Arabidopsis thaliana: one gene and its partner. The protein of the gene in region 1 interacts with the protein of each later gene in a pairwise test. Each region holds a gene or a part of one and is shown on either strand. Other genes may lie near its edges.

Region 1 (5,065 bases):
TTGGCTTGTTTTGTGATCTCTATATTGTTTATAATTTGAGGTAAATCTTTATATTAGGTTGTTCAAGCTGATGAGGAAAATAGAAAGTTGATTTTATCTGAGAAGTTAGCATTATGGCCAAAGTATTCACAAAACGTTAATGTTGGGGATGTGTTTAACGGAAGAGTAGGTTCTGTTGAGGACTATGGTGCCTTTATCCACTTGCGTTTTGATGATGGTATATTTGCTTTTACCTAAATTTCTTGGTTTCTTTTTCTTGTTTTGAGCTTATGACATTGATGTCAGTTATGTGGGGTGGTGGTGTATAGGTCTTTATCATTTAACTGGACTAGTGCATGTCTCCGAAGTATCATGGGATTACGTTCAAGATGTTAGGGATGTACTACGCGATGGTGACGAGGTTCGGGTTATAGTCACGAATATTGACAAGTGAGTTGCTTATTTTGGTTACTGAAATTTATTAGCCATGACTCATGATATAGTTTTTAATCAAAAGTTGTTCCAATGCAGAGAGAAATCAAGGATTACACTATCCATCAAACAACTAGAAGATGATCCTCTTCTAGAAACATTAGACAAAGTGATTTTGAAGGTAAAACAATGTGAATGAATGTGTTTTCTGTCTCTTGTGGGTCTTAGTGATTTTTAATAGATAATTGAATATTGTTACAGGACAGTTCTACTGGATCTCCTTCGCTAAGCTCGAACAATGGGGATACAATTGAACCTCTTCCAGGGCTAGAAACAATACTTGAAGAGCTTTTAAAGGAAGATGGGTATATAGACAATATCATTTTATAATTTAAATTTACTATGCAGTCCTAGTCAGCTCTTTGCATAATATCTGCTTATTATAAGTGACTAGGATCACCTCTACTCTACTAGATTTGTTCACTCCTCGATTTGCGATTGAATATATACATGTCAATAGCTATTGCTGGCTGATACTTTTTCTGAACCCATGATGAGTTGGATATTGTTAATTGCATTACTTATAGAATCTATGTTTCAGGCATAACATTTTGGTTCCAGTGTGTAACTAATATTCATTTCTATATTGCAGAATAGAAGCTGTGAAAATCAACCGGCAAGGATTTGAGAAAAGAGTGGTTTCACAAGACCTACAACTTTGGCTCTCAAATGTGAGTTCTGTTTCTCTTTACTTTCCCGTAAGAATAAACTCTGCTCTGTGAAAATTCTGATTCTATGCGCATGTTCACACGCAGACACCGCCTTCTGATGGGAAGTTTGTTCTTCTTGCCCGTGCTGGAAGACAGGTAAATCTCAGAAGCTACCCATTTATATGGCCATAGATAGAGAGATTCTTGGTTTGATTTTAAGTAAAATATTAACATTACAGGTGCAAGAGATACACTTGACAACGTCTCTGGAACAAGGAGGAATCAAGAAAGCGCTTCAGCATGTACTAGAACGCGTCCCCTAAGAACCCGAAAAAAGACTTTTGATACTCAGCCACTATATTCAGCTCTATGCATCTCAAACTCTTGCCAATGTAACTTCAAGTGGAGCAGAGACTACTTCAGAAATATTCTTAAAAGGCAAAAATGCAAATTCATTTGTATCATCATTATATGTCACACATAACACAAACCTATGAAAATATATGTGTATACTCAATGTTTTTAGTTACACATTATAAACTTCATTAACATAAACAACTCATAATACATCAAATTCAAGTCTAAAACCTTCTCAAGTCAATAATTGACTTTTTTGACACCATGTTTTGGTAAGTACCATCATCTTTTAAAATAGTCTCTTAACCAAGAATAATCAAACATGATAATTAAAAACAATTTTATCCTTTTGTTTGTTTTCTCTCCCACAACTTTCCTGTCTCTGCCATGCACATGCTCTCTCTCTCTCTCTCTTTCTTCTCTCTTATTCTCACTCCAATGATTACAGAGGCCAGCCTAAGCAGCCTACCCACTTTCACCATCTAATGTTCCCACATTAACATAAAACACACGTAAGATTCTTCTCCTTTTGAACTGTAAAATTCACTCTTTTTTAATTTCTTAATCTTTCTTATCATTACTTTCTCTTTTTTATTTTGTCATTTTCTCTTAAACCTTCTTCTTCTTCTTCCTTTGATCAGTAAAAAAAGTCACCGCCTTCTTCTTCTCTTTCCTCTTTCCCCTAATTGATCAATCATGCTTCTTCATTTCTAGTTCTCTCTTCCTGACTCATTTCCCTCATTAGATCTTCTTCTCCACTAAACCCATAATTGAAAGAAGCTCTTTTTTTGCTTACATTGAAGTTAAAAAATCATCACTTGTTTTGTTTTTGAAGAAACACACATAAAGTTTGTCTTTTTACTTCTCAAATTTGGTTGTTTTCACTCAATTTCAATCTTGCTTTCTGATTCAGATTCTGGGTTTTCTTCAGAATTCCCAGAGAAGTTGTTGGAATTGAATTTTTCACTTTTTTGTTCATAAAAGTTCTAGTCTTTTTAGATGAACATGGACAAGGAAACAGAGCAAACCCTAAATTACTTACCTTTGGGTCAGAGCGATCCCTTTGGCAATGGCAATGAAGGAACAATTGGAGATTTCCTTGGAAGATACTGCAACAACCCTCAGGAGATTTCACCGTTAACTCTACAATCCTTCTCTCTGAATTCTCAGATCTCCGAGAATTTCCCAATCTCTGGTGGAATCAGATTCCCTCCATATCCAGGTCAATTTGGATCCGATCGTGAATTTGGGTCACAACCAACAACGCAGGAGAGTAACAAGAGCTCTTTGTTGGATCCAGATTCAGTTTCGGATCGAGTTCACACCACGAAATCTAACTCTAGAAAGAGGAAGTCGATTCCTAGTGGTAATGGCAAGGAGTCTCCAGCTTCATCGTCTCTTACAGCTTCCAATTCAAAGGTTTTGATTCATTATCTCTCTTGCTCTATTTCAAAAATGTATACTTTAGGAAACTGTAGCCATATGTGTAAGAAAGTTTGTGTTTTGTGGAGACTTTTTATCTATAGACCTTTTAGTGTGTGTACAAGGTTTTTTAGTTGTGTTTGGTTTTGGATATATGATTAGGTTTCAGGAGAGAATGGTGGATCTAAAGGTGGGAAGAGAAGCAAGCAAGATGTAGCTGGGAGTAGTAAAAACGGAGTAGAGAAGTGCGATAGTAAAGGCGACAATAAGGACGATGCTAAGCCTCCTGAGGCGCCTAAAGATTATATTCATGTCAGAGCTAGAAGGGGTCAAGCAACTGATAGCCATAGTCTTGCTGAAAGAGTACTACACACCTTCTAAAACTGATCTGTTTTTTTGTTGATTAGGGGCTGTTTTGATGTTTATGATGTTGATGTTTTTTTTGGCTGTGTTTTGGTTTCAGGCAAGAAGAGAAAAGATTAGTGAGAGAATGACGTTGCTTCAGGATCTGGTTCCTGGTTGCAACCGGATTACAGGGAAAGCAGTCATGCTTGATGAAATTATAAATTATGTGCAGTCCTTGCAGAGACAAGTTGAGGTATGAATTGTGTATTTCATAAATGTTCTTGAAAGTTGGAGTTTGTATATCTTGAATCTAAAACTCGTGGTTTGTTTCTTTAGTTCTTGTCCATGAAGCTGGCTACCGTAAATCCAAGGATGGAGTTTAATGCTAATGCTTCTTTATCCACAGAGGTAAGATTCTGCTTTGTATCTATAATGGAATGGTCAGATTATGGAATGTTTTGTATCTATAATGTGTGTATTTGTATGTGTAGATGATTCAACCGGGGGAGTCGTTAACGCAGTCTCTTTACGCAATGGCTTGCTCAGAGCAAAGACTTCCATCAGCATACTATTCACTTGGCAAGAACATGCCAAGATTCTCAGACACACAATTCCCCTCAAACGATGGATTTGTTCACACTGAGGTAGTTTTAGTAGTAGCTAACGTCAGATTCTAGAAAAACTCGTTTGTGCGTATCGTAAACTCGATCCTTTTATGTTTTTGATTCATTATAGACACCAGGATTCTGGGAAAATAATGACCTGCAAAGCATTGTTCAGATGGGTTTTGGAGATATCCTCCAGCAACAGAGCAACAACAACAACAACAACTGTAAGAAAAATTAGAAGCAAATTCGTCTATCGAAATTATAGAACTATCTCTTATGTTGTTAAAGTCTCGTATCTTTATGTTGCAGGTTCTGAGCCAACGCTTCAGATGAAGCTTGAACCATAGTCCATAGCTATGATTATTATCTCTGTTGTACATACAGAAAACCAAGTAGTGATGAGTAACGGAGTGAATCATATTGGAATTTTAATGTTTACAATCGTTGCTTCTTTGCTTGTGTCTCTGTTGATTTCTTCTCAACCTTAAACAAAAAAAAAACAAGAAAACTTCAGATTAAGTATGTAAAAATATGACAAGAACTTTTCTCTGTACTGTTTTACAATCGTTATGTATTATGATTGCTCTAAGCTTGTAAGAAACAGGAATAAATTTGTTCACTTCTTTATATTCTTTTCACATTTTCTTACGAAACAAGATTGAGAGTACGAGTGGTTGATTACAGAAGTTCTCTCTTTCGATTCGTATACGTTCCCAATTGACTTCATGAGACTCTAATATTGCATTTTAAGGTACACTAAGCTAAGTTCCAGAAGAAAAAGATTGAGCGACTAGCTCATTATCGATGAAGAAAGATAAGAATGAACCATGAACATGATCTTAATCTTCAGTTTCATTAACTCAAGACTTGAAATAAAAGCTCTGTTTCTGCGTAATAATAGAGTAATATCATCTCGTTGGCTCCTTTTTCCTTCCTCCTATCAAAGCTCATTGATTTGTCGCTTAGAGTGAGACAAGCCTCAACATGTTTTCATCATATCGACACTTTTCTAAATCGCTTTGTTGTTTCGATTCCCCTCCTTCAGGTTGCTTGATTTGTACTAAACTTGGAACATAAGAGCACAGATCAGTCCTACATTCTTGGTCTCCAAAATCTCCAACGAGATCCAATCCCCTCAAGTATCCAGCCTCTCCAATGACAATAACTCTCTCGCGGTTACGTCCATCAAAACCAAAGGCGACTTTCTTCTCC
Region 2 (5,110 bases), on another chromosome or scaffold:
AAAAAATACTACATGAATTAAGAATAAGGGTTCTGTGTTGTCGAAAATAAATATGAATTCCTCTCTATAAACCATTACAACACAAAAAACGCAAAAAAAAAAAAATAAATAATAACAACAAGTACTTGGAATCGTTATTAAAAAAAATATATATACATTTGGAAAAGACATCAGGTGATTTGTAGGTGAAATTCTCCATCGGAATTCAATTTTATAAGCTTTTCACGTCATGGAATAATTAGCAGCCTTATTTGAGACTCGTGGAAGTCAAATAACAATGACGTTAATTGATGTTTTAATAATCTCTCCTTGCGCATCAAATAAACTTTAGTTGCTAGTGCTGCTATTTCTTAGTTAGATTTTTATAAATTTTCTCCTTCCTATTTATTTTTATAAATATAAATATATATATTTCTGAATTTTTCATCCAATATTTTAATTTTGTCTTCTTACACAGAATCAACAGCTCTATTTTCAAGTCAATAGTACAACTCAATCCGAAGGGACACGAAAAGCAATATTTGTTTTGTCTATTTTTTGGTTAAACACGAAAAATAAAATTATGAATAAATAACACAAAAAGCTAATTAAAGATCGAGAATTAAATTATCTTTTTTCCTCACTGGTTTGTAAATTTGTAATAAATAATTAGCAAACTATACACAAAATCCTCCTAATCATCATCAAATCTTTGCTTTTTACCCCGAAACAGGCGTTTATCTTTTGACTTTTGACTTCGACCAAACCAGTCAACAGAGGGAAGAGGAAGAGGAAATTGTCATCCGTGACCGGCTGCTAAGAACTGCCCCCTCTTGAACGGCATTAGAGTCATTATCTACTGCATCAGTCACACGTTCACACCGAGGACACATGGTTAAAGCCGAGGTCGATGATGGCTTTAGCGCTCGTAGTTCTTCAACTTCTATTTGTAGCCGTCGATTTTGTTCCTTCAACGATCCGAACCATCTTTTTAGATACTCACATTCCATTTCCGTGTGCTTTAGCTTACTCCTATATATACATCAGATTTTGTGTAACCATGATTGATGGTTAATGTGGCCATGCATAATTTTAGTTTCATTCGCCGAAGCATCAGTCTCAAGATATACTTACACCATACGTAAGTTATAGGTTTTATCCTATACCAACCAATGCAACCATATATATCCATAGGTTGGTGTTTGATATATATCCAATTTTATTAATATATTAACGAGTTTGGTGTTTGATAAATTTCTACTTTTAGAAGACTATTCTACTGACCTTTGCATATAACTATAAGTTTATAAACCTGTGTGTAATATGTGTTCACATGTTATACTATATAAGTGATTGCTTAATTGACCCGGAATGCCCATACGTAAGAAGAAGATCATCTTGACATATATGATATATCATATTGTTCTAGACGTCTACAGTTCTACTTCTTGTACTAATACAGTAACTTTTGTTTCAAATGTCCATTATTCTGATATTTTTTCACACATGCAGGTTCCGTATTTTTTTAATTATACTAAAATGGCCCCATTAAGGCATTAATTAAAAACTGAAAATAACACTACTACGATACTTTTACGAACTGAAAAATAGATATTGAAAATTATAGAGGCTCTTCACACTTCATTAATCAAAATTATAACGTTGTAGAGTTATGTATAGAACGCAATTAGATCCATTCTTTATGGACTTAATGAACTAACTCTATCTACCATGCATATACATGTATCTTAGTATTTATACATTAACAAATGTATGTATATATTTACACACATTCGTGTAGATGTATGTGAATATATAGACAATATAGAGAAAACATTCACAAAAAGTGTATGAGTGTGTTTAAGTTTCATTAAAGTTATATGTATACTCTATGGGACAAACATCATAATTATGGACTGGCCAAAGATGAGCTGAAAAAATAAACAGATCATTTATTGTCTCTAACTTTGTCCCTCATGTTCCCTATCGCTTTTTTCTTGTTGATACATTTATTACATTCTATATTTTGATTTTTGAATCATTGGACATTTATATATAGACACGTAGGCACATAAATTAAGAGTACGGGATTTCATGTGTCGCATAAAATGGGTGATAACTGATAGCTATATATGTGGGAATCAACGTGAAACACTTGGATAAAAAAGGATCACTTCCACTTTACTACATTTTCCTAAACTATAATTGTATATATGGTGAATTATGTTGAGAATCTAAGTTACGACACAATCTCTTTAGATATAATATTCTGTCAACGCACTCTCATATATTAAAATATTCTCAACCACTTAAAAAGTAAAAAGTATATTTTCAAAAACCCTATATATATATATATATATATATATACATAACATGCCGTATATATATAAACATACGATATATAATTCTTATTTTCTTCGATTTATACGAATTTAATTTTATGTATGAATGATGTAATATATGAAGAGGTAGATATATACGTACCGAGCTCTTCGATTTTGAAACCACACCTCAACTTGCCTTTGACTAAGCTTCAAAAAGGTGGCCAAATCTTTTTTTTGCTTCTGTGGTTTCATAATCAGCCACCCAAAACATCATCAGCCGACATGATCATCAGAAAAGATTAACTCTTTTCTCTTTCTTATTTCTCTATTCAACGTAAGCAAAACATAGACGGAGCCATTAATATATACTTACAGGGGTTAAGGTATGGTTTTGTATGAAACTCTCTTCAAGAAGATGTGATTGTTCTTTCGTTAGACGGAGCTTTTTGCGCCGCCGGCCACCCGAGTTGCTATCATCTTCGTTGACATGTGGTGTTGCACCGATCATCCACTCACGATCTTCTTCCGTCTTTGGTGTTTGGTTTATGTCAAAATCTCTCATCCCGTGATGATCACCTACCAAATTATTTTAATTGGAAGACATAGTATTAAAACTATATAATATATAAGATTTAATAAATCTTTAATTTGGATATGATCTTACCAAGTGAAGGAGATGGAGAGAAGCTCGGAATTGAGATTGTTAAATCTAAAGAGCTTGAATTAGGTGAGAGGGCCATGGAGGAGGATAAAAAGAAACAGAATCAAGAGAATTTGATGAAGAAGATAGTGTTTTTTTTGGAAGATAAAAGGTAAAGTTGAAGTTTTATATGATAATAGAAATGTAAGTGTGTGTTCTGTGTGTATATACACATGTGAAAGAACAAAAGAAAAAAGCGAGACAAAGGAGAAAGATTTTGTGATAAGCGTGGAATGTGGAATATGGAATAAGGAATTAAGCATAAGAGAAATATCGAAATATGTAAAATATTTAAAAGTATGAAACACGACAAAAGATTATTAAAAAAAAAATCTTTCAAGCAGGTCAAATACGAAGGAACAAAATTTAAGGGAGAAATATAATGGCCAGTGGTAAGTTGATGGAATAAAAAAAAACGAATAGATTTTAATTAAAGAGGTGTGTGTATATGTGTGATTGGTGGATTTGGAAAGAAAATAAGGGGTTTGACTAGTGTCGTTTAAGTCAAATCAGATTCGTATAATCAAACAATAATGTTTTGCCAATTTGTATTTTGGGGTTTAGTAATGGCCGTGTGTGGGACAATAACGGGTAGTCAAAGCATTGTTATGCGTTGAGCGTTACAAATGCAATAATCTTAGACAAATGACAATGGTCTATACTTAAATGGATCTATTAAAACCGTGTAGATTTAAAAATAAAGCAATAGCTATCTTTAATAACTGAAACTTAAATCATTTACCATCTAAACTATAAATAAGAAATATATAAATCTAATAGTTTCGAATCTATAGATTATATAAAAAATAAAATAATTAACAAAATTCTTTAATAGATATCTATCAATATTAGTAACATTATATACATATGTTTATTATTATTACTGTATATATATTAGATTAAGCTTGATGTTTTTGAACTTAAAAAAAAAGGAGATTAAGCTTGACGTTTTTTAATTGGGATAATATATAGTTTTAAATGATATTATACACATATCCTCCACGGATTGTGTAATAATGAACTCGTTATCATTGGTTAGGATGGGCATGCATGACCCAAATTACCCAAATGTCATATATTTACGGGTCATTTCCTCCAATATATCCATGCCTTACGGCTTTTGTATCCTAAGTGGAGTGCTTCTGGGCCCTCATTACCTGCTTTTGTTTTATCTAGCCGACCTTGGTCCGGTTAACTATATGTTGTCTTTTCTCCGGTTCTGATGAATAAGTTTGTTCTTACGAATTGAACCAAATTCCTCACAAGTTTGTATACGCGCGCACAACTTTGTTGATTCTGATAACACAATTTCGACATGATGTGAAGCCGTGAAGGTTATTATCCGATTATGCTTAGATATTTAGGTTAGTATGCAGATTAACACAAACAATTTCATGAGTTCCTTTCCAAACCGGAGAGTACATCTCGTTTAGGAACATTCTCCCATTAACATATTAAAAAATCAAGTGATAGGTTTCAATACAGAATATCATAATGCGTAATCGTTTCTTCATGACGATGCTCGTCACTCGTCGTCATCCATAATTTCAACACCACAGAGAGGGCAATTATTACTTGTACTTAACCACTTATCGATACAATCACCATGAAACACATGCGCACAATTTGGCATGTCGAATAAGTGCTGTTCCTCCAACAAGCAAAGACCGCATGTTTCCATGTCTGGTTCCTCGAATATTTGTGGGGTTAATGTGACGTCATAGGAGATGTACAACGGCCCTGGAACTCGCTTGGCTTCGAAAGCGATCTTGAAGGAGAGAATACTGCATAAGTTGGGATCTTGGAGCCTTGGATAGAGAAGATTATACATGCTTTGTTCATCAAAGCTCACGATGTTTTTCAAAAAGAGGTGAGGGGTCGGGAACGCAGGAGAATCGCTTGATCCTAAAGTAACCTTGTTTCGACGCGATTCTCTGATCTCCACCGTGTTTGATGTAGATTTGCGCGTAACACTTGCTTCAATACACACGAGCTCTTCAATCTCACTCATTCTATGGAATTACTGAAGAGATTTAATGAAAAAGAAGAATGGCAGTGTGTCGATATATATAGATATATCAAAACCTAAACGAGTTAGGATTAGGAA

The links.
Region 2: the proteins of AT3G23690 (region 1) and HB18 interact in a two-hybrid assay, tested with the Arabidopsis thaliana proteins (one large-scale study listed by BioGRID).

Annotation. Positions count from the first base shown.
Region 1 is NC_003074.8:8,528,068-8,533,132, reverse strand, and holds AT3G23690 (basic helix-loop-helix (bHLH) DNA-binding superfamily protein), read left to right. Parts: upstream 1-1,774; 5' UTR 1,775-2,477; coding exon 2,478-2,897; intron 2,898-3,062; coding exon 3,063-3,263; intron 3,264-3,363; coding exon 3,364-3,498; intron 3,499-3,581; coding exon 3,582-3,653; intron 3,654-3,736; coding exon 3,737-3,889; intron 3,890-3,980; coding exon 3,981-4,077; intron 4,078-4,162; coding exon 4,163-4,200; 3' UTR 4,201-4,524; downstream 4,525-5,065. Other genes in the region: AT3G23700 (Nucleic acid-binding proteins superfamily), read left to right, coding at 58-217, 309-429, 511-592, 673-776, 1,064-1,142, 1,227-1,277, 1,361-1,444; AT3G23685 (F-box associated ubiquitination effector family protein), read right to left, coding at 4,816-5,064.
Region 2 is NC_003070.9:26,734,059-26,739,168, reverse strand, and holds HB18 (homeobox-leucine zipper protein 18), read right to left. Parts: upstream 3,276-5,110; 5' UTR 3,044-3,275; coding exon 2,968-3,043; exon of another isoform or gene 2,880-2,967; coding exon 2,677-2,879; intron 2,544-2,676; coding exon 2,464-2,543; intron 1,012-2,463; coding exon 750-1,011; 3' UTR 504-749; downstream 1-503. Other genes in the region: DEP (RING/U-box superfamily protein), read right to left, coding at 4,529-5,014.